Linked DNA regions of Nothobranchius furzeri. The protein of the gene in region 6 interacts with the protein of the main gene of each other region in a biochemical or structural test. Links are inferred from orthologs where the notes say so. Each region holds a gene or a part of one and is shown on either strand. Other genes may lie near its edges. The genes, in order: cdkn1a, prmt2, mta1, proto-oncogene tyrosine-protein kinase Src, ccnd1, esr1 and ncoa6.

Region 1 (3,095 bases), on a different chromosome or scaffold from region 6:
TTTTGCACATCCAGGAAATCCATAAACTCTTGTTTGGTGGTTTTAGTTTTTTTTACATGTCTGTGTGTGTGTGTGTGTGTGTGTGTGTGTGTGTGTGTGTGAGAGAGAGAGAGAGAGAGAGAGAGAGTGGGTGAGTCCAAACTGTGACATCCCAGTTTGACACGAGTTCCAGACTCACGTGGAGCAGAGTTGTAGCTGAACTGGGCTGGGTCCAACTCAGTCATGCATGACTAGCTCTCCCGCCAAAGCTTGAGTCACTCCTCCCAGAACCACCCTGCCCAGTAAAAGAAACGCCCTCCCCCTTCCTCTGTGGGACCAGGGCAGCGCAGGGATCCAGCAGGGATCCTTCAAACCCTTTTATTAACCTAATGATCCACCCACAATTGGGGAGCTTTATTCTGAGCCCTGTGCTGTGGGTGGGAGCGTTGAACACTGCATACATAGTCTTAGTGGTCATTAGATGTGTCCAACAAACCCATTTTTTAGTAAACTCTGATACAGACTGTAGTCAACTGACTTTACTACGTAGATAATTTTGATCAAAATGCAAAGGGCCCTTCTTTTTCTCATGAACAAACCAAACTGAACTCCATGATAGGAGCCAGATCAAGCTAAAATAGAGACATATTTCACTCTCATATTTTATGAATCAGAAAAAAGGGTTTGTGCTTGTGTTTGTATGAAAATAAAAATCAGAATCATATCAGATTATAACAGATGACTTGTTTCATTGACACATTTTTATTTATAACACTAATCAGTATTTTACTGAAACGCATCTTCACGTCAAATTGAAGCAGATTTTTCCAGATTCCGTTTGCAGATAACTGGAACAGCTTCTGTAAAATAAGCTCGTGTCCTCTTAATCACTGATAACGTATTTTATTCATCTCCCAATCTCATCTGCTGCACCGTAACTGGACGGGCAGGGACTGTTTTCCTTGAATGCTTCCTTCCTTCTTGGATGGTCTGAATGACCTGTTTCCCAGGTCAGAGTCAGAAAACAGTCACATGTTTCCCTCAGTTTCAACGTAAACTGAAGATGAATTATTTCTCTGGTGTTTGCCTCCGAGCTGTCTGTAGTCGGAGTGACAGTGCCACCTTGTGGTTTATCTCTCTTACACCAAACACCACAACAGCAGAGGACTTGCCCTTACATGCCTGTGAGAGATTATGCCCAGACATGTACCAGAGAGGAGGGCTAGTGACTCACTGCTGCTGCTGCACTGCATTATAAAAGCCCGTCAGCTCACAGAAGCAGTCTAGTTCACTGAGGAGCTGTTAGGCTAGAACCATGGTGAGTCTGACTAAACTTTGTTTAAATCACTGGTTTGAAAATATTAAAAACATTTAGTTTGTGTACTTTTTAGACTGTGGACAAAATAGATTGTGGCTTTTGAAACTAATCAGTTTTCCTGTTTTTACCTACAGTGCAGAGGGATGGCTACACTTCACAAGCGAGCCCTCAGTACTCTAAGAAGGAACGGTCCCCCTCGGCGGAGCCTGTTTGGCCCAGTGGACCGAGAACAGCTCCAGATGGAGTACCGGACTGCCCTGCGTAAAGATCTGGAGGAGGCTTCCCAACGCTGGGGGTTCGACTTCTTCTCCGACAAACCTCTGGAGAGCGGTGATTTCCAGTGGGAGATTGTCCCAGGTACCAGGGTGCCACTGCCCTACAGATCCAGCGTCATCTGTGCAGGACATGCAGAGGGTCAAAGGTCAGCAGGTGCAACCAAAAGAGGAAGGGTGGTGGTACCAGAGAGGGAGAAAGAGAACTTCCCCCAAACTCTAGAGAAATGTTCTCTGAGTCTGGAGAACATGGAGACAACATCAGAGACGGAAGACAAATCAGGAATGAAGAGGAAACAGACAAACATTACAGGTATGTTTAGATATTTTTTATATCAAATTAGAAACACTCATCTTTTCTCATAAGCTAAGTATCCTCTTCTTTAACCCAACAGATTTCTATCAGGCTAAAAGAAGAGTTGTCTGGCTGCCGAGGAAATCCGGGGAGTGATATTTCCTTTGAAGGTGCCAAAACTCCCAAGAGAACCAGACAAAGAACCAGCACCTCCTTCAGGAATCAGTTGTTCCACACCGAGCAGCGGGAGTGCTGAATCATCCAACAAAAAAAAAACAAAAAAAAGAAAAAAAAAACCCAGAAGGCACCAGGCTAATTAAGATGCTGCATGTGTGAGGGGTCTGGTGTTTTCTGTCCACGCTGCAGTTAAGAAGGTGACATTTGAGCAGAGAAGATTAACAGTAATCTCTGGAATCAGTGGATTTATACTCATTTGGACTGAGAGCTCGCCAAATTGCTGACTGACATTTGTTACGGCGCGTCACACAGCTCTTAACCCTCTCGGTCTCGTTTTGATAAAAGGACGAACAACTAAGTCCTTCAGGGGTGCTTCTGAGTTAAAAAATGCTCATGAGATACTTGTGTGGAGTAACCAGGTAGGTAGGTTTTAACTGTTGCAGATCTGCGATGCCTGCCTCCAGAGGGTTAAAACACAATCACATCTCAGTTTGGTGGGACTTCTGCCTGTTTGAGGATGAAAAGCAGACGTGCGAACAAATATCAGGACTCAGATTAATACGTTTCTGTGGCAAAGCCGCAGGAAAGCTAAAAACAGGAGAGCTTTGTCTATTTTGTTCAAATCTATAATTGTTTTTCTACGTCTTTTTATAGGAGTTTTTTTTTTAAGTGCATTATATTTTACATCGGGGGTTCCCAATCCTGGCCCTGGAGGGCTGGTATCCAGCAGGTTTTGTGGTTTTTCTGCTCCAACAGACTTGATTCAGTGGTTGAAACGCCTGTGCAGCAGCTCATCAGGCTCTGCAGAAGCCTGTTAATGAGCTGCTGATTGAAATCAGGTGTGTTGAAACAGAATTCAAACTAAAACATGCAGGATACCGGCCCTCCAGGACCAGGATTGGGGACCTCTGCTTTACGTAGTCATCGGAAAACGGCTTATGGAGTTGTGATATATCCTTAAACATGTGGTTGCATTGCTTAGACTATAATCAGCAGAAGTGCCAACTTTTTCCATCTCATCCACTGATTTTTAAAACCGTTTAAACCTCCACAA
Region 2 (4,542 bases), on a different chromosome or scaffold from region 6:
CAAGTTCCTAGTTTGTGAATTGTTTGTTCACTGACAATGGCAATAAACCGATTCTGATTCTGATTCCCAAGCCATTGTAGGAAACAAATATTAGATTTTTCACAATTGAAAATTTAATTTACGAACCAGTTTAGGCAAAGTTGTTTTTTTTTTTCCTTTTATGTACTTTAAATAAAAAAATTCAAACATGTAGAATATGAGAAGAACAAGCAATTCAAGCTGAAAAATAACCAGCTTTTCCCCAACGTCAATAAACTCACAGGGACGTGTGCAAAATGCACTTTTTGCATTTTTAGAGCTGCCATATGACTCTACTACCCCTACACATATCCAAACAAGGATAAAATCTGTGCTTTCACTTGTTGAGTTTGACTTCAGGTGTTATTCGTCTGAAATGAGCTGTTTCAAAAATTCCTTGTGCTTTTCTGTGTTTCTCTTCTATTTCCATGGGTTTTCTGTTCTTATTTTGTAAAGCGAAGCAAAATGTTTTTTCTTCTTTATCTTTTTTTTTTTTTTTTTTTTTTTTGCTGACAGGGCATCACAGTCGCCATCATCAGAGCTTCTGCGGTGTCGTCACTTCTGCTGTTAATCCCGGGCGGTGTGGAACGATGTCGCCCTCTACAGCCCGCACCTTCCCTGCCGATCACCACGTCCCATGAATGATCCAGCGTGTAAACTCCATCACTTTTCATGGCCCAGAGTCCACGTTTACCAATCTCAATCGCTTCGTTTAGGCATCTTCAGTGGATAAACAGCGGAAGTGACGCCGCCAGAATGGCGAATCTCTGCAACGCCGAAACTTTCAGCAGGTAACGTAAAAAAACAAAACTTTGCTACTCTGTGTGCAAGATAAGAACAGAAAAAACTATTTTTCAAAAAATTCTATATTGTGACATCACAAATAAAATTATCATAGAATCCCTTCAACTTCAGATGCTGGATGACCTCCTCCAACGGCAACCAATCAGGGACCAGAAACTGTTTTGCTTAAAGTGAAAGAACGGCTCATTCTAGAAAGTACTTAAAAAGCTGCTCACTTTATGCGAGACTAGTTTTGAGCAAGGAGCTTAATTATATAGTTTTGTATTTACTCTAGAGTAGGCGTGTCCAGTGTGGCTCGGGGGGCATTTACGGCCCTCCAAGCGATTTTGTAAGGCCTCCATTTGAATTTTTAGAATGATGAATTTTGTCTTTCCATGTGGAATGTAACCCACTTTCTAACATGTTTGTGTTGAGATTTTTACTTATTAGCCTATTTTGGGTTCATTTTGAAGAGCACAAATAAGAAAAATTGCCACAAAATAATGCTTGCAATTTTTTATGAAGAAACCTACATTCTTGTGGCCCCCAGTGACTTTAAACAGCCATTTTAGCCCTCGCCTTGAAAAGTTTGGACATCCCTGGTCTAGAGAGTAAAATAAAAACTCGCAGTTCCCCTTTAAATGATCTGCTATCGTTGGTGTGTTCTTGCTGTGTTTAGTTTCAAATTCTATCTTTCAGTTCTTTTTAAAGCACGATATGCTATGTGCGTGTAAACAGTGGTCACGCACGAATTCAGCTATTTCCGACAGACTTGAAGGCAGCACCAAAGCAGGAAGTGCGTGACGCGTTTTACCGCTTGTTTCGCTGTGGTAACAAAGCACGTTTTGGTTATTTTTAAACCCAGATTTGTCAGGTTCAAAATTTGAGACAATTTATAAAACAAAACCACTTCACTCGCCTGAACCCTCTGGAACATGGAGGCGGAGAAAGAGGACGAAGAAGACGCGTCTCCTGAAGAGTTTGTGGCTTTGTCTGATTTCTCAGGAAGTGGCTCCGAGCAGGTTAGAGGCAAACAAACAGCGGTTCAGCCACAGAACACACTCACTTCATCACTTGTGTCCCGCAGCTTAGTTTCAGCTCAGGGGACAAGCTGCTTGTTCACGCCAAACCTTCTGCAGCCTGGTGGTGGGCGGAGGTCCGTGGGGTCATAGGGTATGTCCCTGCCAGCTACCTGCGCCAGGACACAGCTGAGGAGGAAGACACCTCTATAGAAGACCCCTGGCAGGATGAAGAGTACTTTGGGAGCTATGGAACACTGGTCAGAAACATCAAACATTTATCCTATGAAACTTTAGGTCGGTTTGCATGATTAAAGCAACACTTGTGCATTTAGAATGTGTAGAAGCTGCAATATCTTCATAAGTTTAGCCTGAATTTGAGCTCTACACTATATCATGTCAGGTTTTGACTGTAAAGCACACAAAAACTTAAAAAGTACAATACTTGAGAAATAATAGTGAAATGGCACACCCACAGAGAAAATATCCCATCTGTTGTTCCTTAGATGATTATGTCATTCTTAAATTTTATTTATTTAATTTTTTTGCAGAATCTGCTTAGTTTGGGGTTTATTTTTACATCCAGGAATGCTGCTGAAGTTAAAAAAATAAATAAAGTGTTAGTCTCCTGAGGCAGCAGTGTGTGTGGCCTGTTCTCCACCTAAATCCTAATCTCTAACCTCCGTAGAGACTTTACTGATGTTGTCTCAGTAGCATTGAAGCATATGAGTTTGCGGCGGATTCAAAAATACTTTAATGCCATTAAAATAAAAGAAACATTAATACGTGTTTTTGAGTTTTTGACAAAATTCAAGCTTTGTTAATAACAACACCGGAAATCGATAATGAGATTCTGCCACTGTTCTGTTCATTAGAGGAGATTTCTTGTCCTCGTCATTCATGCATGTTATGTGTTCATTTTGTGGGGGCTAGGAATAGATATTTACCTCAACAAATCTTTAATAATTAAGAGGTTATTTGCAGGTTTATTATGGATTTGTTGTGCAGAGATTTCTGCACATAGTCAGAAAGAGTGCAGCACCATTAAAAAGTCACATTAGCCTCCTCTGTTCTTTACGACTGCAGGGACTAGAGGACTGGTCCTGCAGATCTTTTGTATTTCTGAAAATCGTATCGTGACTGTGATTTTCCTCTGCAGAGAAAACAGACCATTAAATGGAATATATTTGCTGGAGTGTTGTGTGCACAGCGTTATGGATTCAAGTCAAAAACTGAAAAAGCGTTTGGAATAGAACAAAGGGGCTTATTACAAATCTTGTTTCCTGCCTCAGAACCATGAACGGCATCAGGAACTGAACAGTTTACAGCACGGTGAGGCTGCTGATGTTTCAGACTTAGTCAAAGTTGTGGATTCTAATTTGCACCTCGGTCAGGTAAAGGATCAATGAGCCAAAGCGACCACGTCAGCATATTCAATAAAGCAACCTAGCTGCCCTTGTGCTCACGTCCACTTATTAATCACCTTCTGCTACATAATTAAAACCTGTTGGGTTTGCTTTCACACCATCAACCACACATGTGTTTTATGTTGCTACTTTTCATCTGTTAGCGGGAGTGATTGGGAGCACGGTTTCTGATGGTTCTGATATATTTTCACCCCTCCATGTCATCATGTTAAATTCAGTTTATCTCTTACGATGCAGAAGCTTCACCTAGAGATGTTGTCGGACAGGAGCCGCACCGAGACGTACCGGCAGGTTGTTCTCCGCAACAGTGCCTCCCTGAAGAACAAGGCGGTGATGGACCTCGGCTGTGGAACCGGCATCATCAGCTTGTTCTGCGCTCAGTTGGCGCAACCGTCAGTGGTAATTGTGACACTGAAATTCAACCATGTCGGCTTAAATGAATGTTCAGTTAGCATTAAAGTATGCAAGTGTCTCCTGAATGATTATTATTCTATGATTCCATATATTCAGAGTAAAGATCTCTTTATATATCATACAAAGTAAAATTTTAACTTGATGCCTTTAAGGTTTTAATTAAAAAAAAGACAAATTGGAAAGAAACAGTCACTAAGTGGTTCAGGTCAACTTTATGTTGAACAGTTTGGTTAGAGCGCCATCTGGTGGACAAACACTATTTCTACAGGACTGAACCCTTTGGTTTGAACAGCTTCGTGTTTCTAAGGTAGCCTGGCCTGCCAGACTCACCCTCTGTCTATTCTACAACATGCCAATGCTTCCCATAAGGAAGGCTGGCCAGGCTATTTAAAGGTGCAGTGGATGTTGTAGGAAACGGACGTTCAAATGAGCTACATTAAAAAAAAACAGGTTCAACCCCTTTTTCTGCAGACCCCCCTGGAGTCATAGAAAATGTTCTAACACCAGACCATACGAATGCCGTCCAACAACGATAAAAGTCTTTTCAACTTGTTGTTGGCACCTTTTCTGCCATTTTTTTAAATAGTGTAACGCATCGTAACCATGTAACATGTGGGAGGTGGAAGAAGTGGTCAGTTACTGATTTGAGGTCGCTGGTTCAAACCCTGCTCCCACCAACCTGTCGTCGTGTCCGTGGGCAAGACACGTCACACTTGTTGCGTACTTGTGTTGATCAGAGAACCCGGTGGCCTAGCTTCTGTCGGGTTGCCCCAGGGCAGCTGTGGCTACAGTGTAGCTCATCACCACCAGTGTTTGAATGTGAGCATAAAGCGCCCTGGAGTCAGTAGATGATTCAAAGCGCTGTACAAAATCAGACCATT
Region 3 (4,531 bases), on a different chromosome or scaffold from region 6:
CATCTGCAACAGCAGCAAGCTGCCAAGTAAACAGGTCTAATGAAAGTAGATACAGTTCCCAAAAATCAGGCTACAGTCGACTATTCCTTTTTCTTCAATTAAGCCCATACCGGCAGACATAAAAACACAGAATATTACATGGAGCCGTGGAAACTCAAAATGATCAAATTGAAGATTATTGTGTAAAACCCTCCCATGCTGCATGTCTCTTGTTTTTTGCCATAAAAGAGCTCTAGGATTTAAAACAGGATTCTTCACATGCTGCACACTTAACGAGTGCACACTGCAACTACACACGATTGGCCCGCAACAGTCATGTGACTGCAGACTGTAGTCCCTTGTGTTAGGCCACAGTAATTGAAGCTTCCATATGGTATAGATCATATGTAGCGTTCACCACAGCATTCCTCCTGCACTGAGGCTCTACACTCACATCCAGATTTAAAAACAAAGCTGTGGAAAAACCATGCTGCATTCTCTCATCACAGAGTGTCACTCATATTTAACACTTGCTAATGATTTCTCTGACAGCAGAAGAATTTCTCTTGCAGGGTGTTTGAGGCAATTTATGTATTATTTATACATAAGTAGCAACATGCTGCAAGGATCCAAGAAGAGTATGTGTTTGTGTTGGGAAAATAACAAAAGCAGAGCAAATGTATAATTTATTTTGTATGGTGGATTATGCTACAGTACATTTCTCCTTTACCATTTCAACAAAAGACAACATAAACGCAAACATTTAACTATTGAGTCATGGAAATCCCTGGATATTTTTTATAATGTTAAAACCTTGCATGTTCCAAATTATCATTCCATGAGTCACTTGGCATGTTTTTGCCTCGATAGAACACTGTGTACTTTATTTTGCGCATTGACGTCTAGGCAACAGCAGTATGTGTCCTTATTTTGGTTCAGTCACTGATACAATTCACTTGTACGTGTAAATTTTTGCTAATAAAATGATCTGTACAGATTGTTCTGCTAGTGTTGTTAAGGCCGGTAAACACCTTCAGAATAAGATGAGAGTTAAACTGCTTCTTTTAAAATAATACACATATTTGGAAATGAATTAAATGAGCGAATAAACCCATGATACATTTCTATATACAATCCCCATGAACTCCTTGTACAGTTCATAAACATAGTGAATGACGAATGAAATGAATGAAAAGCTTTATTTGTCCCAGGGAAGGGAAATTAGTGGGTCAACTCCTTGAGTTTTGGGGCTTATTTAAAATATATTGCATTCAGTTTGCATTTTTATAGCAAAATAATTAAATTGTTGATTTCACTGAGCACAGCAGTGTAGACGATAAAATAATTATTAATTACACCCCTTCTAACGTCAAGCGTGACCCAGAGGTCACGTAAAGGGGTTTACTCTCAAATCTCGCGATATTTCAGTTGATGAGGGAGAACAAAAAATTGGGACAAAGTTACAAAAACAGGCGAGTTTACTTTATCTTAATAACTATTCTAACTACCAGATAACTACTTTAACTATTAACAAAAACACGACTAAACCGAAAGGCGGTGGGCTACTGCGGTGACTGTGACGCATATTGAGATATATATTAAGAAATAATGGCGTAGTTAGCCACTGACGATGTTATAAAGGTAATAAGTAGTGAGATTAACGCGCCCTTTGTTATCCGTGCCGATAAGTTGGGTTTCCTGAAAAGGTGTACTGTCTCTTTAAGGTCTCTCGGGCAGTCTGTTTCGTATTGATCAATCCACCATTTTCCAACACACAGCTCCGGCAGCGGGAGAGAGCAGAGAGCCACCCCTCTACCTGGAGAGGAAGCCCGGGACCGGGGGCAGTCATGGCAGCCAACATGTACCGGGTTGGAGGTAAGCTTTGGGGCGTTTGCGTTTCGGAGCCGTGTGGCGTTTTTACTCGGCGGACTCGCCATTACCCACGGAAGCTCGTTATGAGCGTGGCTCGTCTTTTAAAAACATTTCCGTAAGCTGGGAGAGCTTTGTGCTTCTCGCAGATGATGGTGAGGAGGAGGAGGATGGTGATGAAGAGCAGCGAGCGGTTCTCTTAAACATTTGCTTCTTTTGCTGTTTTCCCCCTTAATGAACCCAGAGAGCCATCTCGGTGTTCTGGCACACCTGAACCCTCCATGACGGTTTAGTTTATTTTAAATAACATGTCACGGGTTTTCTGAAAGTTTCACCTAACTATTGTTCTTTCTGCTGCCTCCTGTAAGGAACATCGTGAGTACTTTACTGGAACCGCATAGGCATCAATGCAAGGAGGCAGCCGGGACAAAAACTTTACACTACATTTAGTTTTAACACTTTAAATGTAGAAATGACCAACAAAATATTCCAGATTAAGCTTTTTGCACATCCAGGGAGTCTCTTAATACCTAATGAAGATTCTTGAGTCCCACTCAGGTAAGACAGGTGTAAGATAGTCACGTGGCAGTGTCCAATCGTGATCTTTTTGTTTTTATTTATTTATTTTCCACATACTTTAGTGCCCAGATTAGTGTCCACTCCTGTTTGGAATGATGTTGTATAGTGAGCGTTTCTGTGTTGTTGTACATTACCACATATTTACTCTGACAACTGTTCTGTAATTCAGGGATGCTGTGACTGTACTTGGCTCGGATACAGCATCAGAAATAGCCCAAAGTGAACGTCATATATCAAATTAAAGGAGGCCTACCTGCGTGAGAACAGGATTAGTCCAGAGAGGGGTAGAAAGTTAACAATTCAGTCACCAAATGTCACTTTGTTCAGTTTCTTCATGCCACTCAGTTTTATTGATGCGCTAGGTTTTTCAAACCAGTTGTGCAAAGATTATTTTCCTTTGCTGTTTGTTTATTAGCTGAAAATGCACATTTTGGAACACATGTTACTTCACTTTACTCCAGCAAGTGATATATATCAAATGGCACTAAACCACTCACATTTACGTCTTAAGTTGTTATTTTAGTAAAATATTGTTGAGTCTGTCTAGTAAACCTAGTAATAATTGAATTTGGCCAAACTGAACTGAAACCACAACAATGAACTCTTATTAATTGCTGAGTAAACACACTTTGGGATTATTTTTCTTCTGTTGTAATAATCTAGATTAAAAAAAGGCCAGAAATGAGGCCTGATAACAAGGATCCTTTCAGAGCAGCATCACAACAAAGAGCTGCCCTTGAAGAGATGGCTGCAATTTTACAAGATAATAAGAAGCATCCTTGGGCTTTGATGTCTTTTTATTTTTATTTTTTTAACTGTGCTGGCCACAAACCACTCATCTGCTGCCTGTATCACCTTTTTCCTTGTGTCCCCATCCAAAAAATATGTTGAAGAAGTGTGTCAGACCACCAAGTTCAGACCTAGTTCAGTAAATTGCTGAGTAAATGGGAAGAGGAACTGTACGTGGTGGTTTGATTTTATTATTATAAATTGTAGAAATCCAGAATTTTTATTGGAGGGATTTAGTCAGTGGGCATGCATCCTGAAATGAATGTGATTGGCTAATAAAGGACCATGCTTAATAATTGTTTGTTATACAGAAGTTGTGTCAAGCTTAAGAATAGGGTTTGTTTAATCTACATAACAGCTGAGGTAAAATACACACACACACACACACACACACACACACACACACACACACACACACACACACACACACACACGCAGCTGCAGCAGTAGGTTTTCTGTGACGTTTTGGGAAATCTCACAAATCATATTTTATTCCATCAACTGCAGCCCTGTCCAAACTTTTTTCCCTGAGGTTTAATGTAAAACCGCTATCTTCAACTCCGTGCAAACCACTCGAGCTGCAACAGAAAATCTGCACCTGTTCTTAAAACGCATTTCATTTTAAAATATTCTTTTATTTCCTGCATCCGATTCTGATCTGCTTGAATAACGTCGTTATGAGAAAAAACACCCAGAGTTTTGAGAGGCGGTGCAGCATCACATCTGATAAACAGCAGCTAACATGTAAAATGTCTGTTTTTCTTGATCAGAGTAAAAGTAGATTTCCTTTTTGATTCTGTCCTTTTTGTTGTAAAATGTATTTAAATTATTTGTGTCTACATGTTGAGAAATTAACTGTGAGAATATTAAGTGCCAAAACCTGAAATTAGTGTCTTAAAAGCCTTTTCGTGCAAGATTACAGAATTAGCTCTAATCTCTCGTTCCCAGCATTTGTGGAGCAGGAGTCCATTATTAAGCCCCTGTTTCTACTGGAAGCTGTGGTGACTCTGCTAGTTGGTATTTTTCAGAACTGCAACAAGCCAATCAGCAAAATGTTCCCCTAAAATGCATCCACCCACTGGTCACTTTATTAGGTACAGCTTACTGGAGGCAGATGCCTTCAGAAATGAATTCTACAAGATTATAGATGCATTTCTCAGAGTCCATGTTGGTCCAAATTAACATGACTGCATCACATAGCAACATACACGATGAATCTCCCATTCCACCACATCTCTAAGTTCTGGGGCCTCATTTATCAGGCTTGCTTACGCACAAAACGGGGTCGGAAAACTGCGTAAGCAACTTTCCACGC
Region 4 (3,779 bases), on a different chromosome or scaffold from region 6:
TTATAATCAGAAAAACATTAAAACATGTTTTTTCAGTCACTTTTAAAGATTTAAGTTCCAATAAAAGAACATTTATGTTATTTTTATTTATTCCAGAAAACCTACAACGTATTCAGTTAACAGCGTTTAAACTGCCCTTCGGTATTTAACTCAAAGGTTAAAGTGTCAACGTAATTTAACTCAAACCCACAATAACCTCAGCAAGGACATTTAAGAAAGAAACTCAGCTCCCACGCTGAAAATCTCAGAAGCTGAGAAATAAAACATAAGAAGAAAAGATAAAAACAAGTGACCTTTTAACACCAAATTATTTTACATGTGGGGTTTATTGACAGTTTTTTTTTTACTAAGAGCTCAATAGATAAATCCATGCATCAGCAAAAGGAAGAGAACAAAAGGTTGCATGGAGTTTATATGGCATTAGATTTTACTGACCTGAAGCTGTACTTTTTCCTAGAGGAAACCATGAAGCATGAGAAAGGAAAGAGAAAGGGAGAGATAACAGACACAGCAGACACATCAAAACACGGCAAGGAGACACAACAAGGCAGGCAGACAGAGCAGACCAGCTGGATGCTGCCGGACTACACAGAAGGGCCGTTTCAGGTCATCCAGTATGAAAACACACAGACCTGGAAAGTTGCACTTAATTCTAAATCATCAAAAGTTTAAATGGAGTTTTGGGTTTAATCAGCCCTTCTGTGTAGCGCCAGGAGAACAGGAACCCAGACTTATGGCAGGACATTATAGAAAGAGCACACACCAAAAAACAAAGAAATAAAGCATCACAGTTCAGGTTTTTAACATGTTTCTTACACTGGAGGGTCTATGTTTTAAATGCATATTACATCTGAACCAGAATTTTTTTATTTAACTCCAGTACACCTCGAAGTGTGCAGCTGAACCCTCAATTGCTAATGGAGGTCACAATTTGTTGCCTACAGTCACATCCCAGTGGGAATATCAAAAATAGTCACTTATTTTTGCAATTGTTTTACGTTATTGTTGATATGGAAATCAAAAATTGAGTCAACTGTCTCACTACATCCCCTAAAATCAGGTTAAAAAACAAATAATCTCTTCAGAAAACCACACAACTTTCAAGACATTTGGTCATTTCGAGATTTTTCAAATCTATTGCTATGGTAGAGAGGAGAGGAGTGACTTCTGATGTTTCTTACGTGTTGTTTATGATCTGCAGCCGTTCGCCTTTGGCAAAGCTCAGATCAGTCGTCGTCCGTGCCTCATAGTCATACAATGCCACAAATGTAGTGACACCTTCTGCAAGAAACCACACACAGAGACATACATCTAACTGTAATTACAGACGCTACAAAGAAATGAAAGGGTTCCTCCCTAACTTCCATAAAAAATATTCAGCTAAGCATTTTATTTTGAACTTTTTCAGTGTTTAATGAAACATATTGATAGATGAAAGGGTTCTGACCAAATGTCCTTGACAGACAGAGACATCACATAAACGATTTTCCATTTTCTGTGCAGATTTCTAAGAGTTTATTAAACAAACTTGTTCTCTAAATCTGGAAACTCCCCAGCCAATAGCTGATTGGCTCATTAAATGCATGACAGGAGGTAGTAGAAGAAATGTTCTGCTCCCTGCGTGGAGCAACATTAGCCCGACCATCTGGCTGGTCTAGACAACTTAAACATCAACAAAAAGAGGACACTGCATTACACTAGGCTGCAACTGCAAAAAAAAAAAAAAAAAATAAATAACCTTGACGGCGTGAAGAGGAAACAGCTTTAAAATATGGTTCTGAGTAGATGTGAGTTACTCTGACTCAGTTTGATTTTCTTCATAACATTTGTGATCTTAAATAGAAATCAAGTCCGTAGGCAAAGAATGAGTCAAACTCATCTTAAAGGTGCAATTTGGGAGAATGATATCTTGTGGTCAAATCAGGTTACTGCAGTAAATATTACTCTCTCACTCTCGTTCTGTGAGTTTCGTGGCTGTACCCAGTTAAGGATCAGCACCAGAAGATTCTAGACGACAAGTAAAGACGAGTCATACACAGTAAGTCGATTAGTAGATAAATACATTGTCATGTCTGGTGTTTCACGGTAGGGGGCATATACTACACATATTATGATAATATTTCACCAGCATTACAGGAAGTGTTGTTTGTCGTCTTGTTGTTAGCGTGTTGTTATAGTTCTGAATGACTCATTAAAGGAAGTAAATCTCCACGACTGACTCATTACTCACTCCACACACACATTTCACTGTAATATTCAGTTGTTGGTAATTGAAAAAGTAACATGAGATATTTTTAGAGCTGACTATTTGGTTCTAATTTACCGTTAGCATTGTTAGCTCAGCATTAGCCTGTACCTGGCCTCACCCGATATTAAGAGTAAAACAAAAAGATGCCGTGGTACAAGAAATAGCTTCTGGGTCACTCCCGTTTACTGGCTTTGGTTCTATAAGCAACTCTGAAGCTTTTTTGCCTGCCGGTGTTGAATTAAAAATGCCAGTGCTGCAGCGTTAGCTCACTGCAGCACTGGCAACCTCACAAACTAAACAGTAACCACTTCCCACTTTCATTGTTTTCATAAGGAGAAAAGTTGGCAACCCCCCAGCTGGCTGACAATGAAATCAGTTTCGGTATAATCTTCCTTCCAACATGATTGAGACATTAGACTGTTTTATGATTAATACACTGTAGAGTTCTTACAAGTTGCACCTTTAATTAAAAAGTTACAAAGTAAAATTCAATAAAACAATCAGTCTTCCACATCATTAAAGGAGGAATACTGGCCTAAAGAGGTAAACCTCAGTTAGCTGAAGTCTCCTCACTCTTTGTAGGCATGCCTCTCTTTATGTCCTACCACAGCATTTCAATTAGGCTGAGATCTAGACTTTGACCCATTAGAACCCCTTGATCCTTCGCTTCAACAGCCCCTCTGTTGTAAATGTGTCCCAGTGTTTAGGGTGATTGTCCCAGTGAATGTATGAGTCTAAGCCAAGATCCTGCTGTAGGACAAACGGCCTTACATTCGACTCTTGAAATTCTTTGGTGAACAAGAGTTCATGCTGATAATGACTCTAGGAAGCCCAGATGCTGAACAGCAAGTCTCCTTCATCATCTGCCCTTCACAGTACTAACAGTGGATATGGGGTATTTGTGCTGATCTGCAAAACTTCATTTTGAACAAAAATCTCCACTTTGATATCTTCAGAAATATTTGCACATTTCTGATTTTTATACTGATGTTGCTTTACCACTCAAAAGATGTAAGCTGTGCTACCATTCTCTTATTTTTTAAAGATAAGATGCTTTATCCTGGCTGCCCCTCCAAACAAGAAGCTTTTGTTTAGTCTTTTTCCAACCACACTTAACTGATTTCAAACTAAAGCCGGGCGTACGCTGTGAAACTTTTTCCACTCGTAGGATTCAGCTCTACCTCAAACCGTACAACGTTCTAGCAGAGCAAACTTCACGAGTCATGTTCTCACACTGTATGACCCAATGCTCAGATGTGACCTGACTGCTCACACTGAACATGTGGTAGAAGCACTTTGGTCCTGAAAATGTGCTAAAAAATACTGGTTTTTACACAACATGTTGGGAGTTAGTTACTTTGAGTCCGAAAACCCGGAAACTACATGTGCGTTAGTCTGATATCTTTCAGGCTTGTCACAGGACACACAAAGGTTTATGGGGTTGGAGAAGGAAGATTAAAGAAAGGAAATAAACTTTGTTTTGGGATCTGTTTTATTTGACATAAACATGGAAAACATGTTTTCTTGAGAC
Region 5 (3,779 bases), on a different chromosome or scaffold from region 6:
TACTGTTTATATTGACTGTTTATTCAATAAATTAGGCCTGCTTTTCAAACCTTAGCTCTTTCATATCTTTCATATTCTATGTATTATACTTACTGTACACACCACATTACACTTTACTGCTTATTCCACATAGTTGGATGTTAAACTGCATTTTGTTGTTCCAGTATTGGTCATTTTGGGTTAGTCCAGACATCCAGAAACAAGATTCAGGGTAGATGGCTAGGCTAATATCTCCCGCTACCACCACAGACATATTGGACCTGAAAAATATTTTTTTTTCTACCTCAGAGATAAGTACTTGTAGTTGTTCGCTACCATTTTAGTCTGGACTTTACGTAGCATTACTATGATAAATATATAGTCACCACTTAAAATCATTCTAGTTATTAATTTAGCCGTGTTGAATTCAATTTAATTACGTTAACAACTTTGTTCAAATGACAATGCCAGTCTTCAGTTCTCACTGCCTCCTGGCTGCGGTCTGTGTAGCTAGCTAAAAACAGTATGAACAGCTGAGGCTCTGTCCTCTGAGCACATACTTAGTATTTTTGATAGAATCAAATTCATGACATTTCTATCATTCACATATTTTTGTTTCTGCTGTTGGATGATAGAACTAGTATGAATTACTGAGTGGAGCGCGGGTCCGGTAGACTACCTGCTATCCGTCGCTATCCCGAAGCTCTCGTCATGTTCGCTCGTCTCAACGCATGAGTGAAAAAAACAAAAGCTCTCCGCTGCTCCTTTGTCATTAAACAGAGAGAAGGAGAAAAACCTCTCGCTCCATAAAATGCGATAAAGCAATACTCGTGAACCGAGTCGCTACTTTTGGCCCTTCTTTAGAGAAATAAATCTAGGGGTGAAAAATCTGTAAATCTAGCCAAAAAGACAGTTGGAAAAACAGAAGTGGAACTGCAACTGAAGGGGAATATGCAATCTGATTGGTTGGAAGCGTCATGTGGGGCGCTGTGCCAGCTAGATGCAGAAATTAAAGGAGAAGCGCTACAGCCCAATATTGCCCAAAATGTTTAATCTGTTTGTTTATCCACAAGGAGGGAAAATTTTTTTCCAGGACAACTCAAAAATTTCCAGGACATTTTGCAATTCCACCCATTTTCCATGTGTTTTCCATGACTGGAAAATTGGACTATCATTTTCCAGGTTTTCCAGGACGCGTGGGAACCCTGACACACACACACACACCACTACTCTGCTCCCTGTTCTGATTGCACAGATTGGTTATTGCGTTCGGTGCTAATTAAACACCAACCAGGTGTGGGGTGTGAGTCGTTACACACACCTCAGCTCATCCTGACAGAAACAAAACAGATGTGGTCTTCAGCCTGAGCGACAGCCCTTTTACTTTGTATTCTGCTCTCCTGCAGACGTGAACTTCATAGCCAGCCCTCCGTCGATGGTGGCAGCCGGCAGCGTGGTGGCAGCCGTTCAGGGCCTCTACCTGAAGAACCAGGATGCCGCCCTGTCCTCTCAGAACCTCACCAACTTCTTGTCCCAGGTCATCCGCAGCGACCCGGTACGTTTGAATTCGTTGACGTGACGGTTGTTGTGGCTGGCGTGAGGACGTTGACCCGATGCTGACCCTCTGTTTGCAGGACTGCTTGCGGTCGTGTCAGGAGCAGATCGAGTCCCTGCTGGAGTCCAGCCTGCGACAGGCTCAGCAGCACAGCGGCACAACGGAAAACAAACATGTGGAGGAGGAGGTGGACCCGTCCTCCACGCCCACAGACGTGAGAGACATCAACATCTGAGAATGGTGGACATCTGTCCTACAGTGAACTCGACGATCAAGAGGAAGTAGTTGTGGGAGGGTGCTGATGGGGGTAGGGGGACTTGCTTGGTCTCACCCTATACCCCTCCTCAATCCTTCTCCAACTTCCTAGTGGGCTGAAGGTCAAGAATGTCTCCTGCTAGCCTGCTGCCAGATCAGATCGGACACACCACAGCGTTCCTTCCCTCCAGGGGACTGCAGCTGAGACTACAGGGACGTCCTGGGGAGGACATGATGACCTGCAAGGGCTGGGCTCTTCCCTCACATGTTAAACTTGGAATCTTTAAGTCAGCGCACCTGAAGGTCCTCATCCTCAAGCAGATACTATGTTGTCTTTTCTATCTAAAGTGATTTAGTCTGTCCACGTCTTTGTCCCGTCTCCGGCTTGCTCGTGTTTAGTCACTTTATTTAGACTTTAGTCTGGTAGGTCTTCTGTTCCCAGCCAGAGGGGCCATGAGCTGCTTAAACCCTCTGATGCTGGTCCGACTCAAAAAAGCACTTTGGTCAGCAACGCTGACTCAGCTAAATGCATCCAGAACATTCCCAACACACAACTGCCAACCAGACGGCCTCCGAGCGACGGAGCCGTCCGAGTTTCAGCTGAGCAACTAAAGCCTCTCCAGGTTCCTCCAGAGAAGCCCCTCAGTCCAGATCCTGATCAGGACCACCCCCCCACCCTGCTCTGCCAGAACCTGGTGTCCCTTTAGACAAGCTGGTGGGTTCTGGGAAACCGATAAAGCTGACTCGAGGAGAGATGAGACGAGACTTTGCACAAACATGAACATGTGGGCGTGTTCCATAGGAACCAGTCCAGGTTCACGACACCCCCCCTCCCTGGTGGGGGGTCCCGGTGCTGTCAGGGCTCCTGAGGGGGGTGAGCGGGAGCTGCGGGTAGAGGGTGTACAGGAAGGAGTGAGGCACTCCGGGTTTTCTGCTGCTATAGAAACGAAACGACAGCTTCTGTCAAAGGAAACAAAATAAAGCAGACAAAAGAATTGAAACGACGCTTTTTCCTGTTTGCTGCTATCTGATCTGATTATTTTGTTTTGGGAGTATGCGTGTCTATAAACTGCAATTGTAGGCTTGAATTTTCTCATAGAAAATTGTTATTGACATCCTCATCTGTTGTCTTGTGTAGGTGATCAGCTGTTGTGTGTAATAGGGCTGCTCAATTAATCAAATTTTAATCACGATTACGATCTGAGTTTTGAACGATTATAAAAACAAAACAAGCCGATTATTTGCTCCTCCCACTTGCGCTGCCCTGAGTTGCAAATGAAGCGCTCCTCCCACAGTGTTGCCAACTTGGCGACTTTGACGCTATTTCTAGCAGCTTTTCAGACCCCCTTCTTGACTTTTTAAATCCTAAAAGTACCTAGCGAACACCTCAGAAACATCTCTGGTAACCCTTAGCTTCTTTCTGGATAACTGTCGTTGACATTTCCTGCAGGTTAGCTAAACACTCCGCCTGCGCTCCGGACCGTTCTTCAGGACATTAGGAAAGGGAATGATGCAGTGACGTGTCAGTCGCTAAAGAAACAGCTCTCAGAGCCGGCTCCCTGTTGGATTAACCAGAGTGAGTGACACACACACCGCACCTGTGGACTTCTGAGCAGCTAAAAACAGCTAAATGTGCGCGTGCGGCATGCTAAACAGACGTGCAGCTTGCCCCCTGTGAGACCGGGTTGGGGGGTGCAGCTGTGGTTGAGACAATTATTACATTAACTGATGGACCTGTAAATAAATAGTTTATAAATAAGGTAGAAATAAGTTCCTCACGCTGATAACTAATAACTAATCTCCCTGAGGACACGGTGCTAGTGCACTCTCCTACAGCACCTTGACATGACTAAATAAATGTTATGCAACATTTTGTGAACATCAATTTATTTGCATTTATTTGTTATAAATGCCACTGTATAATTCTTGCTGTCAGTATTTGCAAGATATTGGTATTTGGGTCTGTACTGGTTAGACTTAAATGAGTTAA
Region 6 (3,779 bases):
CCTGAAGTGGAACCTGGCGAGGAGGAGCACCCACCGCTGCTGCTGCTGCTGCTGGTGGAGGGGGGGCTTCGTTCAGCCTGGGACAAGGACTGAGATGATTTAACGGGGCGGTGGAGGCGGTGAGCGTCGAGCATCTCCAGCAGCAGATCATACAGAGGCACTTTGTTCTTACACTTCATGCTGTACAGATGCTCCATGCCTTTGTTGCTGCAACAGACACAAAAAACAAGCGTCAATTCAAATGATAATTTAACGTCCTTTAAAGATCATTATAAGGTTTTCCCCATTTGGTTCATTCTCTTATGGCATGAACCTCCAACGAATCTAACATTCATGAATTTGTATTTTTAAATCTGATAGTTAAATGTTAGTGACACACGAATTATTCACGATAAACTTAATTTAGGTCATTAACAGGAAGTCTGGAACATTGCGTGTTTATATATCCCCTTTGTTTTCAGCCTAAATGCACATTAATGAAGTTTTAAAAGCCTTTTTTATTCAACATTCAATTAGAATTTCATGAGCATATTTATGTCATGGGATGGAGCGTGCATGTTACCTATGTCTGCAACAGATGGAACAAATCAGGTCTTTCTGGTGCTTCAAAAGCATCAAAGCCAGCTTCATTTATAATGCTTATTAAAGGGGACCTTATTTCTTAAGTTTTAATAGTTCTATTGTTGATACCTAACATGTTTATTAAGTAATTTACACTAAATCACTCTCACATGAAGTGATTTCAGTTTTCAGAACCTTCCAAAATGAGCCGTTTCAGGGCTCTGTCACCGTAAGAACACAAGCTGGAGCTGGCCACGCCCACCCATCACCCACTCAGGCTGCTATGAGCGTAGAAGCTCAGATGTCCAGGAGGGGGTTCAAAGTTGAGCCGCTGCTCCTTCAGCATCAGCTCTCTCTCTCTTGCACGTCAAAGATTTTTTTCTAATTTCCCTGCTTGTGACATCACAAACAGATTTTTAAAAAACAGCTTGTTTTAGGCACATAATTCCTAAAACCAAACACTGACAGACAACAGATGGACAAAATCTTTCACATTTGGAGTTTTTATAGAAGCATTAGAGACCAACATGGCAGCACAAAAGGATGAATCATATGTCCCCTAACAAACATTTTTTTTCTGTGTTGTTTTCTTTTTGAGTTATCTACGTTATCGTTTGGACTCATCCGACTCATCCTCTAAAATGTTCAATTCTAAATTTGCTAAAAACAAAACAGCATCAGACCATTTCCTTACCTCATGTGCCTGATGTGGGAAAGCAGTAGGAGCAGCTGGGCCTGCCGCCTCGCCTGCTCCCGAACCGAGAAGCCTGATTGGCTGATGTGATGTATAAGCGCATCAGTGATGGTGTCCAGCATGCTCTGCACCGCTGCGCTGTCGTGAAGGGGCTCCATTGTTCCAGTGCAAAAAGAAAAGGCGCCTGACGAGAAAAAATATGTTCAGTTTGTAGCTTTGTCCTCTAATTTCTGCAAAAACAAAGGCGAGTAAATCAGCAGCAACAATTAAAACTGATTCAACTTCGTTCAGATTAATTTAAAACTCCAACACTAAAGCTTTTATTAGAAGTTATTAAATGTGACTCATGCATGTAAATAGAAGCAGATATTTAGGATGCAGGTTTGCAATCACGAAGTAATCAAAAGTTCATCATGATCCTGAGCGTCTCATCTCATCCTTCTGGCATTTTAGTCCTTTTGCTTCCCTTATAGAATATTTCCATCGCCATGACAAACAAACACACCCTCCTCAGCTGTCCCATGTTGCTGTGGCAACGGCTGTTGAGCATATTGACGGTACAGGCCTTTCCAGAACACTCTGTTCGTCTAATGTGCCTGAGCAGCTCTGAGAGCTACACCTCTTGTGGGCGGATTTTGACTCTGTTCAATATTTACTCTCTGGAGCGGAGATGGAAACCTGTGACGTAGCACGCATACGACCCAAACTGTGAAACTTTAGAGCTTTTTGTTTTGTTATTTTCTATCAAATGTCCCTGATGCCTGCAGGCAGAGTTTTCATGCACTGGAGGGAAGAGGTTTGCCTCACCAGAGTTGAGCAGAATGATCGCTTTAAGGCAGACAAATTCCTCCGGTTTGAGTTTGAGCATGCGGAAGCGGGAAGCAGTGGCCAGCAGCATGTCAAAGATCTCGGTCATACCCTCGACGCAGTCGCCCTCGTTCCTGGAATGCAGAGCTTACATTTTGTTTTGTTTTTGAAAAGCACATAAATCAAGGTTGTAAGTCAGAAACGTAAGCGGTGATTTGAGGAAAACAGATCCCAAGGTCTGGTCTGCAGTGGGAAGAAGAAGCTGATGCATTTCAGTTGTGAAACTATCCACTAATGCACTGAATCACTGCCGTGCTCCATTTGTGAGGGGAAGATGGATAACATCCAGTTGCTTCAGTGCAAGATAAACTTGGAGAGCTCAGAGGTAAGGGAATGCATCCACGCTGACCTGCAGCATTTTAGTCATCATGTCCAATTGACGAGGACACTCATTCAGAGGCCAGGTTTCAGAGATAATACTCTGTAAAACACTTTTGATCAGATGGAACCATCAGAGTGTAAAAGCCCTGTCTGTCTGCATGTCTCCCTCACCCCTGTCGCTGTCGCCTCTCCTCTCCCTTTCTCCTACAGGTTGATGCTGCGGTTTGACCAGCCTGTTTACTCTGAACATGAGGAGAAACGAAAGGAACAAGCTGTGCCTGCGAAGCAGAAAACACCCATGCCTCCTGTCTCTCTGCATCTCCACTTTCTGATCTTTTCTTTTCTTTTCATCATTTAGCTCCTCAGTTTCGTTTCCAGTCACCTCCCTCTCTATTTCTCTCTGCTGCTCCCCGTCTCCCATCATTCTTTGCATTGAGGCTTCGATTAAATCCCCATCCTGGTTTCCAGCTCAGCCTTGTAATGATCAGAGTGTGTGTGTGTGGGGGGGGGGGGGACTTCTGGTTAGCTAGTGGCTGCTCTCCTCTCTGTGGGGAACATGTAATTAGTCTTTCACTCTGTGCCAGATGTGTTGGGATGGCACAAAAGGCTGGCAAGGTGTGACATGATAAATCTACAATGCTGATGGATCACTTTTAAGATCTGACATGGAAGAGGGGAAAAAAGAAGAAGAAGGGTAAATGTGTTCGTCAGCGAGGATGAACCTGTCCAGTATGAGGTCCTGTGCAAAGATGAGCTTTCCAGGGCAGTGGATGGACCTCCAAATTAGCCCAATCATAAGAACCTCCAGCCAGGAGCTCTCCAGCAGCAGAACCTGGTCATGGAGGGACAGCTGCAGAAAGCCTGGAAACACACACACACACACACACACGATCTTCATGAGCTATTCGGTTTTAAATGTTTTTTTTTCTGATCACCTTTAACATAAAGAGTCTTATCACTGGTTCCCAGCTGTTTTCATTCATTTGTAATCACAGCCTATTTATTTCTTTTGTCCCCTCTGGAGCCCGTTTAGGGCCCCTCGCAATTACAGCTGTGTATCTTTGGGCTTTTAGTGACGCACGAGGTCGTAATGCCTCAAAATAAGGATTTACTCCTTCAGTCAGGTGAACGTGTGTGTGTGTGTGTGTGTGTGTGTGTGTGTGTGTGTGTGTGTGTGTGTGTGTGTGTGTGTGTGTGTGTGTGTGTGCGTGTGTGTGTGTGTAGCACACCTTCTAATGCATTTAGGCTCTATGGGGTGCCAGCAGATTGACTAAACAATCCTCTCAAAGGTGATGACTGTAACTACCTTCACCTTAATGGCTCTACGTGTGTGTGT
Region 7 (4,558 bases), on a different chromosome or scaffold from region 6:
TAATGTCATGTTATGGCGTTAAACTAGTGTTCACTAAAACCGAGCCTTGTAAAAATTCTGGAAATTGTTTTTTTTTTTTTATCATTCAGCTACTGATTCAATTAGTACTTTTTAAAGGGGGTGTACTCATTTATGCTGAGAACTGTGTATATATAGCCTAAAATTATATCGCAATATTTTTTTTCTTCTGTTTATGTCAAAAGGAGAAATATAGAATACCATTTAAATAACATTTAATGTTCAAAACTAATTAAAAAAATACAAAATATCAAGTAATATTTATGTTAAACATTGTTAGAAACAATGCAACACAAAAATTCACATGAACCAAATAAAGATGAAGAAATTTTAAAATAAAATACAAGCTTACTGTGATGAAAGTTTGGAAACCTGCGTGTTAATAATATGTTAGAAGCTAATGGCATATAAGGGAATTAGCGTTAGCGTTAACAAGCGTTGATATGACTTCACTGTCGCCCAGAATATTTTACAGAGGATGTTTTTCTGCTCAGCATCAGACTCCTTAAACCTAAACCAGGCCAGTATAAATTATGTCTTCGTCTTCTCATCAACTTGCTCTGCGCTGAAGCTGCTGCTGCTTTCGACAGCATTCATGTGTGATCACGTTTGGACAGTAAAGCCAAAATCTCTACTAGTAGACTAGAGTACTGTTAATTTTTTTGTTAAACTTTTGGAAAAACTTACCTGGGCCAGGCTGACCTGGAAAGCCACCATCCATTCTCATCTGACCAGGTGCACCAATTGGTCCATTCACTCTGACTTCTTGTCCTCTGTTTGGTCCCACAGCCACATTAATTGCTCCCTCTCCTGAACACCAAGATTAAATCATTGCATAAATGAATTTTTATGAAGACAAAAGGAGGAGATCTGCATGAATTCTTTTTGGACTGAGCTATTACCTTCTATTTGCACAGAGAGAATACCCAGGTCTCTGAGCTGCTGCTGGTTGTTTTGGGCCAACAACCGGAGTCGCTCAGCAGCATCCCGGGGAATGTTGAATGTGACACGGACACTGTTCCACGGCTCAACATGTTTAGGCTGCAGCCGTTCTGGGCCTAAAATAAAGTGTATTTAGTTAGTGTTGGTTGGAAAATGCTTAACAGGTCAGTGCAAGATATATATTTTTGAATCAAATACACGTAAATGAGCTCAAATAAAACAAAGTAACAAAACAAATTGAATAAAAATAAACACAAACCCAAATTAAGAACATCAGGTATCCCATTGAGGATAGTTTCTAGTTTTTGAGTGAAGTTCTCATCATCCATGTTTCCTTGAAAGGCAACAAAGACTGTGAAGTCCTCCTCTCCATTTTCTCTAGTGTCTTCTTGCTCCATGGGTCCAACTTCTTCTGTTACGTTGCATTTCTCAGAGCTATCTGCGTCTTCTCCAGAATCTTCTCCAACACCAGAGTCTCTGTCCGATTCACCATCAGGCTCCATGTACGCAGTCTTCTGGGATGAGGAATGTTCAGCAGCTATCCTCCCTTCCTTGTTAGGAGTGGTGTCTAAACCGTTTTATGCTGTAATTACAGATTATTCAAACTTTAGATTACAGCATTTTCTTATCAAATACTATTATTCCATACTTTGCCTATCTCAAATGTATGTACTGCCCAGAAAAGTCTATGGTATTGATTAATTTAATAATTATTTGATAAATTATGCTTTTTCTATAAACTGTTTCAGCTTAAAGTAAAAAGCTGCTTACGCTATGGGTTCCCAATTTTCTACAATTTCGTAGAATGCATTTAAAATGGAAAGTTTTGGGAACATAACAGCTCATCTTAGAATATTTTTAATTTCCCATTAATATATTGAGACCTTCGACAGTTCTTAAAGAGCAAGTCACCCCCAAATCTACTTTTTTTTTTGCTGATAAACTATATAAATGTGTGTCTAAATGTGCTGCAGACACGTGTAGTCAATAATTTGGTACTTCAGTGCATCTTAGTTAAAATTGAAATATTCTGCCTAAAACTGTCAATGTTGCGCCGTTGTCAGGTAAAAACTCTGCACTGCATTTGAATTTAAATCTGCCACCGCTATTGGCTAAGAGGTATGCTATGATGTAAACTGGTACATTATGATGTCACAGTGCCGTTGTGAGCCTGTGTGTGTGTGTGTGTGTATTTGTTAGTGGCTCCGCCCTCTCGGTCTGCTAGGCAACAGCATTTGTTGCATTTTTCAAACATGAAGAGGGAGTGAAATAAGTTTCTTGTAGGGGGTGACTTGCTCTTTAATTGTTTTAGAAACCCTGAACACAGCCAAGAAACAACAGTTATAGTAAGTTGCTAGAGGCTGAAGAGTATTCTATATAACATTCGATTCGAGTAAAACAAAGACAAGCAAAAAAAGTCATAATTTCTATTTGCAAACCAGAAAAAGAAGCAAATAAATGAGTTTGTAACTCAATGAAGCAGACACCTGGAGGTGACATCACTGACCGGTGATTAGCTTATTAAGCAGAGGTGCTCTGATTGGTAGTCACATTACTTTCAGAGTTGTGAGATTTCTTGATATGGGAGTTAAACTTGTTAGTAATAATATAATATATTTTTATAATGATGATCATCCTGGTTTCAGTCACCGGCGCTGCAGGAGTGTGGGCCTTAACGCAGTAAGCTAACATTCAAACAAAATCCACAAGTAAACTCTGTTTCTTACCAAATTGTGCATTTTCATCGTGGTGCAATTAACACTTACATTTCAAATGTATACGTTTTAGCAGCACACAGAAAGAGTGAAATTGAAAGTGGTTCCTATTGGTTTTCCGAAAAATCCTGTTAGCATCAGTTAGCTATGTAGCTAGATGTCAGTCTCCAGACGCGAATGAATCCAAGCAGCGAACCGTAGCTGGTTTAATTTGCCTTTCAACAGTTTTCGTTAATAAAAACAAGGAGAAAGGAATATACAAAGACCTTACCAAACATATCCATATACGAATACGTTCAACTAGTCGACATCTGTTTGCTAGACAGGCTAACAAAATAGGATGAATGTCATAAGCAAGCTAACTAACAAAGGTTGTTTCCGGTTTTCTTTTTCAAAATAAAAGCTCAAAAGGTAAACGCACTCCTTAGGTTAACAAGTTCATGACTATTTCCTAAATAGTCCTGAATAAACTGAGCTGTTTTATCTATTTTTCAAATTGTATTAAATGCAAGTATGATGACAAATTGCGGAACACTGCTTATGTGGGTATGTGCAAACATTTTTATTTCACAAATTTGAACAAAACCGATTTTTCCTTCAATTATAAACACAAAATAATCAAACATCAGGTGTGCAAATGTGTGCATTAACAGTACACAAGACAAGACTCTAAGATTAGAAACCTATTTGATCAATTTAGTGTGAGAGAAAAACGTGTTCGATTTTACTTCTATTATTCCGCTTAATTGCACCAAAAACACATGACACCCATCCCGAAGAGTTCCAGGCTGAATATAGATTTTAGGAATAAAAACATCTACAGTCAAACAGTGATGTAAAAATTGATTTTACATTAAACTGTTTTAATTCCCATTCAGAGAACAAGGGTGACCCTCTCTCAAATAATTCTAATGATTTTCAAGAAAAGCAGCAAATAAACCACTAAAACTATATTAAGAATGCAAAAAGAACAGTAACAATATAAGAAATACTTTAAAATCAATAAAACCATCTCAGTAAAAGTAGTAAACCAAGATGTGGAAATCACATTCCTGTTAAACATCTCTGTCTGGGTATGTTATCACCTAACATGTTCTCAAAAAGAAGGTAAAACTCCAGCAGCTGTGCAAGACAACATAATCACAGTTACATGCCACACTACAAGCAAGGGAAGGACAGTTAGACAAAGACAAAGCAAGTCTCTTCACTTGTCATCTAGCAACATCCTTGGTAATATTTGGAATAATTGACAAAAAACATTAAAAAATAAGTTGACTGTTAATGCATGTACTGCACACTATGCATTTTTTTGTACATTTTACATTATTGGTTTATGATTTCATTTATTGCTCAATAATTTACCTCTGAAATTCTGACTAAACAGTGATAGAGAAAATACTCTCAAACATTCCTCTCATAAGTTCAGCAATTACATTATTTCATTTGCAGCTAACTTTAGTGCCACTGCTGGGTGGGCTTTTACTTTGAAAACCTTGTACCGTGTGACTCGAGCAAACAGATGTGAGGTGAACTCACAGAAAGCTAAGTGGATTTTTATTTAAATGGCAGTTTGCTGTGAGATTTTGATGACTGTAGTAGTTTGATCATTTTTATTCCACCTTTTCTTCTTTCACTAGTATCCTACGAGTTTGATCCCTGCTGTAATGTGAGTGAATACTGGAAAAAGTGATGGATGCACTAAGGTGTGTTGGAAATGGTGAGGGCAGAAGCATCAGCACTACGTGGGTCCTTCACTCCAATGATGAGGTCATTGGTTCTCCGTGTGCCTTCCACCAACGAAAGGACACCCATCCTTTCAACTGTGTGTCCTTTGGCCTTCAGCAGCTTCACGTCATCTTCCAAAAACTCAGCTGTAGGGAAAC

Evidence for each region.
Region 1: the proteins of esr1 (region 6) and cdkn1a form a complex in vitro, tested with the Homo sapiens proteins (2 studies listed by BioGRID). The link is inferred for Nothobranchius furzeri from reciprocal best matches to the Homo sapiens genes ESR1 and CDKN1A.
Region 2: the proteins of esr1 (region 6) and prmt2 form a complex in vitro, tested with the Homo sapiens proteins (2 studies listed by BioGRID and IntAct). The link is inferred for Nothobranchius furzeri from reciprocal best matches to the Homo sapiens genes ESR1 and PRMT2.
Region 3: the proteins of esr1 (region 6) and mta1 form a complex in vitro, tested with the Homo sapiens proteins (4 studies listed by BioGRID). The link is inferred for Nothobranchius furzeri from reciprocal best matches to the Homo sapiens genes ESR1 and MTA1.
Region 4: the proteins of esr1 (region 6) and proto-oncogene tyrosine-protein kinase Src form a complex in vitro, tested with the Homo sapiens proteins (3 studies listed by BioGRID). The link is inferred for Nothobranchius furzeri from reciprocal best matches to the Homo sapiens genes ESR1 and SRC.
Region 5: the proteins of esr1 (region 6) and ccnd1 form a complex in vitro, tested with the Homo sapiens proteins (2 studies listed by BioGRID). The link is inferred for Nothobranchius furzeri from reciprocal best matches to the Homo sapiens genes ESR1 and CCND1.
Region 7: the proteins of esr1 (region 6) and ncoa6 form a complex in vitro, tested with the Homo sapiens proteins (4 studies listed by BioGRID). The link is inferred for Nothobranchius furzeri from reciprocal best matches to the Homo sapiens genes ESR1 and NCOA6.

The regions. Positions count from the first base shown.
Region 1 is NC_091743.1:46,701,144-46,704,238, reverse strand, and holds cdkn1a (cyclin-dependent kinase inhibitor 1), read left to right. Parts: upstream 1-1,163; 5' UTR 1,164-1,294; coding exon 1,295-1,297; intron 1,298-1,431; coding exon 1,432-1,882; intron 1,883-1,964; coding exon 1,965-2,020; 3' UTR 2,021-2,331; downstream 2,332-3,095. UniProt on the Homo sapiens protein: Plays an important role in controlling cell cycle progression and DNA damage-induced G2 arrest. Involved in p53/TP53 mediated inhibition of cellular proliferation in response to DNA damage.
Region 2 is NC_091754.1:17,486,530-17,491,071, forward strand, and holds the start of prmt2 (protein arginine N-methyltransferase 2), read left to right. Parts: upstream 1-1,686; 5' UTR 1,687-1,736; coding exon 1,737-1,823; exon of another isoform or gene 1,824-1,856; intron 1,857-1,888; coding exon 1,889-2,080; intron 2,081-3,484; coding exon 3,485-3,646; intron 3,647-4,542. UniProt on the Homo sapiens protein: Arginine methyltransferase that methylates the guanidino nitrogens of arginyl residues in proteins such as STAT3, FBL, histone H4. Acts as a coactivator (with NCOA2) of the androgen receptor (AR)-mediated transactivation.
Region 3 is NC_091758.1:21,770,796-21,775,326, reverse strand, and holds the start of mta1 (metastasis-associated protein MTA1), read left to right. Parts: upstream 1-1,714; 5' UTR 1,715-1,826; coding exon 1,827-1,854; intron 1,855-4,531. UniProt on the Homo sapiens protein: Transcriptional coregulator which can act as both a transcriptional corepressor and coactivator. Acts as a component of the histone deacetylase NuRD complex which participates in the remodeling of chromatin.
Region 4 is NC_091743.1:58,656,966-58,660,744, reverse strand, and holds part of proto-oncogene tyrosine-protein kinase Src, read right to left. Parts: intron 1,282-3,779; coding exon 1,182-1,281; intron 454-1,181; coding exon 436-453; intron 1-435. UniProt on the Homo sapiens protein: Non-receptor protein tyrosine kinase which is activated following engagement of many different classes of cellular receptors including immune response receptors, integrins and other adhesion receptors, receptor protein tyrosine kinases, G protein-coupled receptors as well as cytokine receptors.
Region 5 is NC_091749.1:21,583,899-21,587,677, forward strand, and holds part of ccnd1 (G1/S-specific cyclin-D1), read left to right. Parts: intron 1-1,385; coding exon 1,386-1,534; intron 1,535-1,613; coding exon 1,614-1,769; 3' UTR 1,770-3,779. UniProt on the Homo sapiens protein: Regulatory component of the cyclin D1-CDK4 (DC) complex that phosphorylates and inhibits members of the retinoblastoma (RB) protein family including RB1 and regulates the cell-cycle during G(1)/S transition.
Region 6 is NC_091742.1:2,857,771-2,861,549, forward strand, and holds part of esr1 (estrogen receptor), read right to left. Parts: intron 3,305-3,779; coding exon 3,166-3,304; intron 2,197-3,165; coding exon 2,063-2,196; intron 1,440-2,062; coding exon 1,256-1,439; intron 208-1,255; coding exon 1-207.
Region 7 is NC_091755.1:60,747,581-60,752,138, reverse strand, and holds the start of ncoa6 (nuclear receptor coactivator 6), read right to left. Parts: upstream 3,076-4,558; 5' UTR 2,947-3,075; intron 1,544-2,946; 5' UTR 1,464-1,543; coding exon 1,220-1,463; intron 1,077-1,219; coding exon 921-1,076; intron 829-920; coding exon 706-828; intron 1-705. Other genes in the region: glutathione hydrolase 7, read right to left, coding at 4,374-4,546. UniProt on the Homo sapiens protein: Nuclear receptor coactivator that directly binds nuclear receptors and stimulates the transcriptional activities in a hormone-dependent fashion. Coactivates expression in an agonist- and AF2-dependent manner.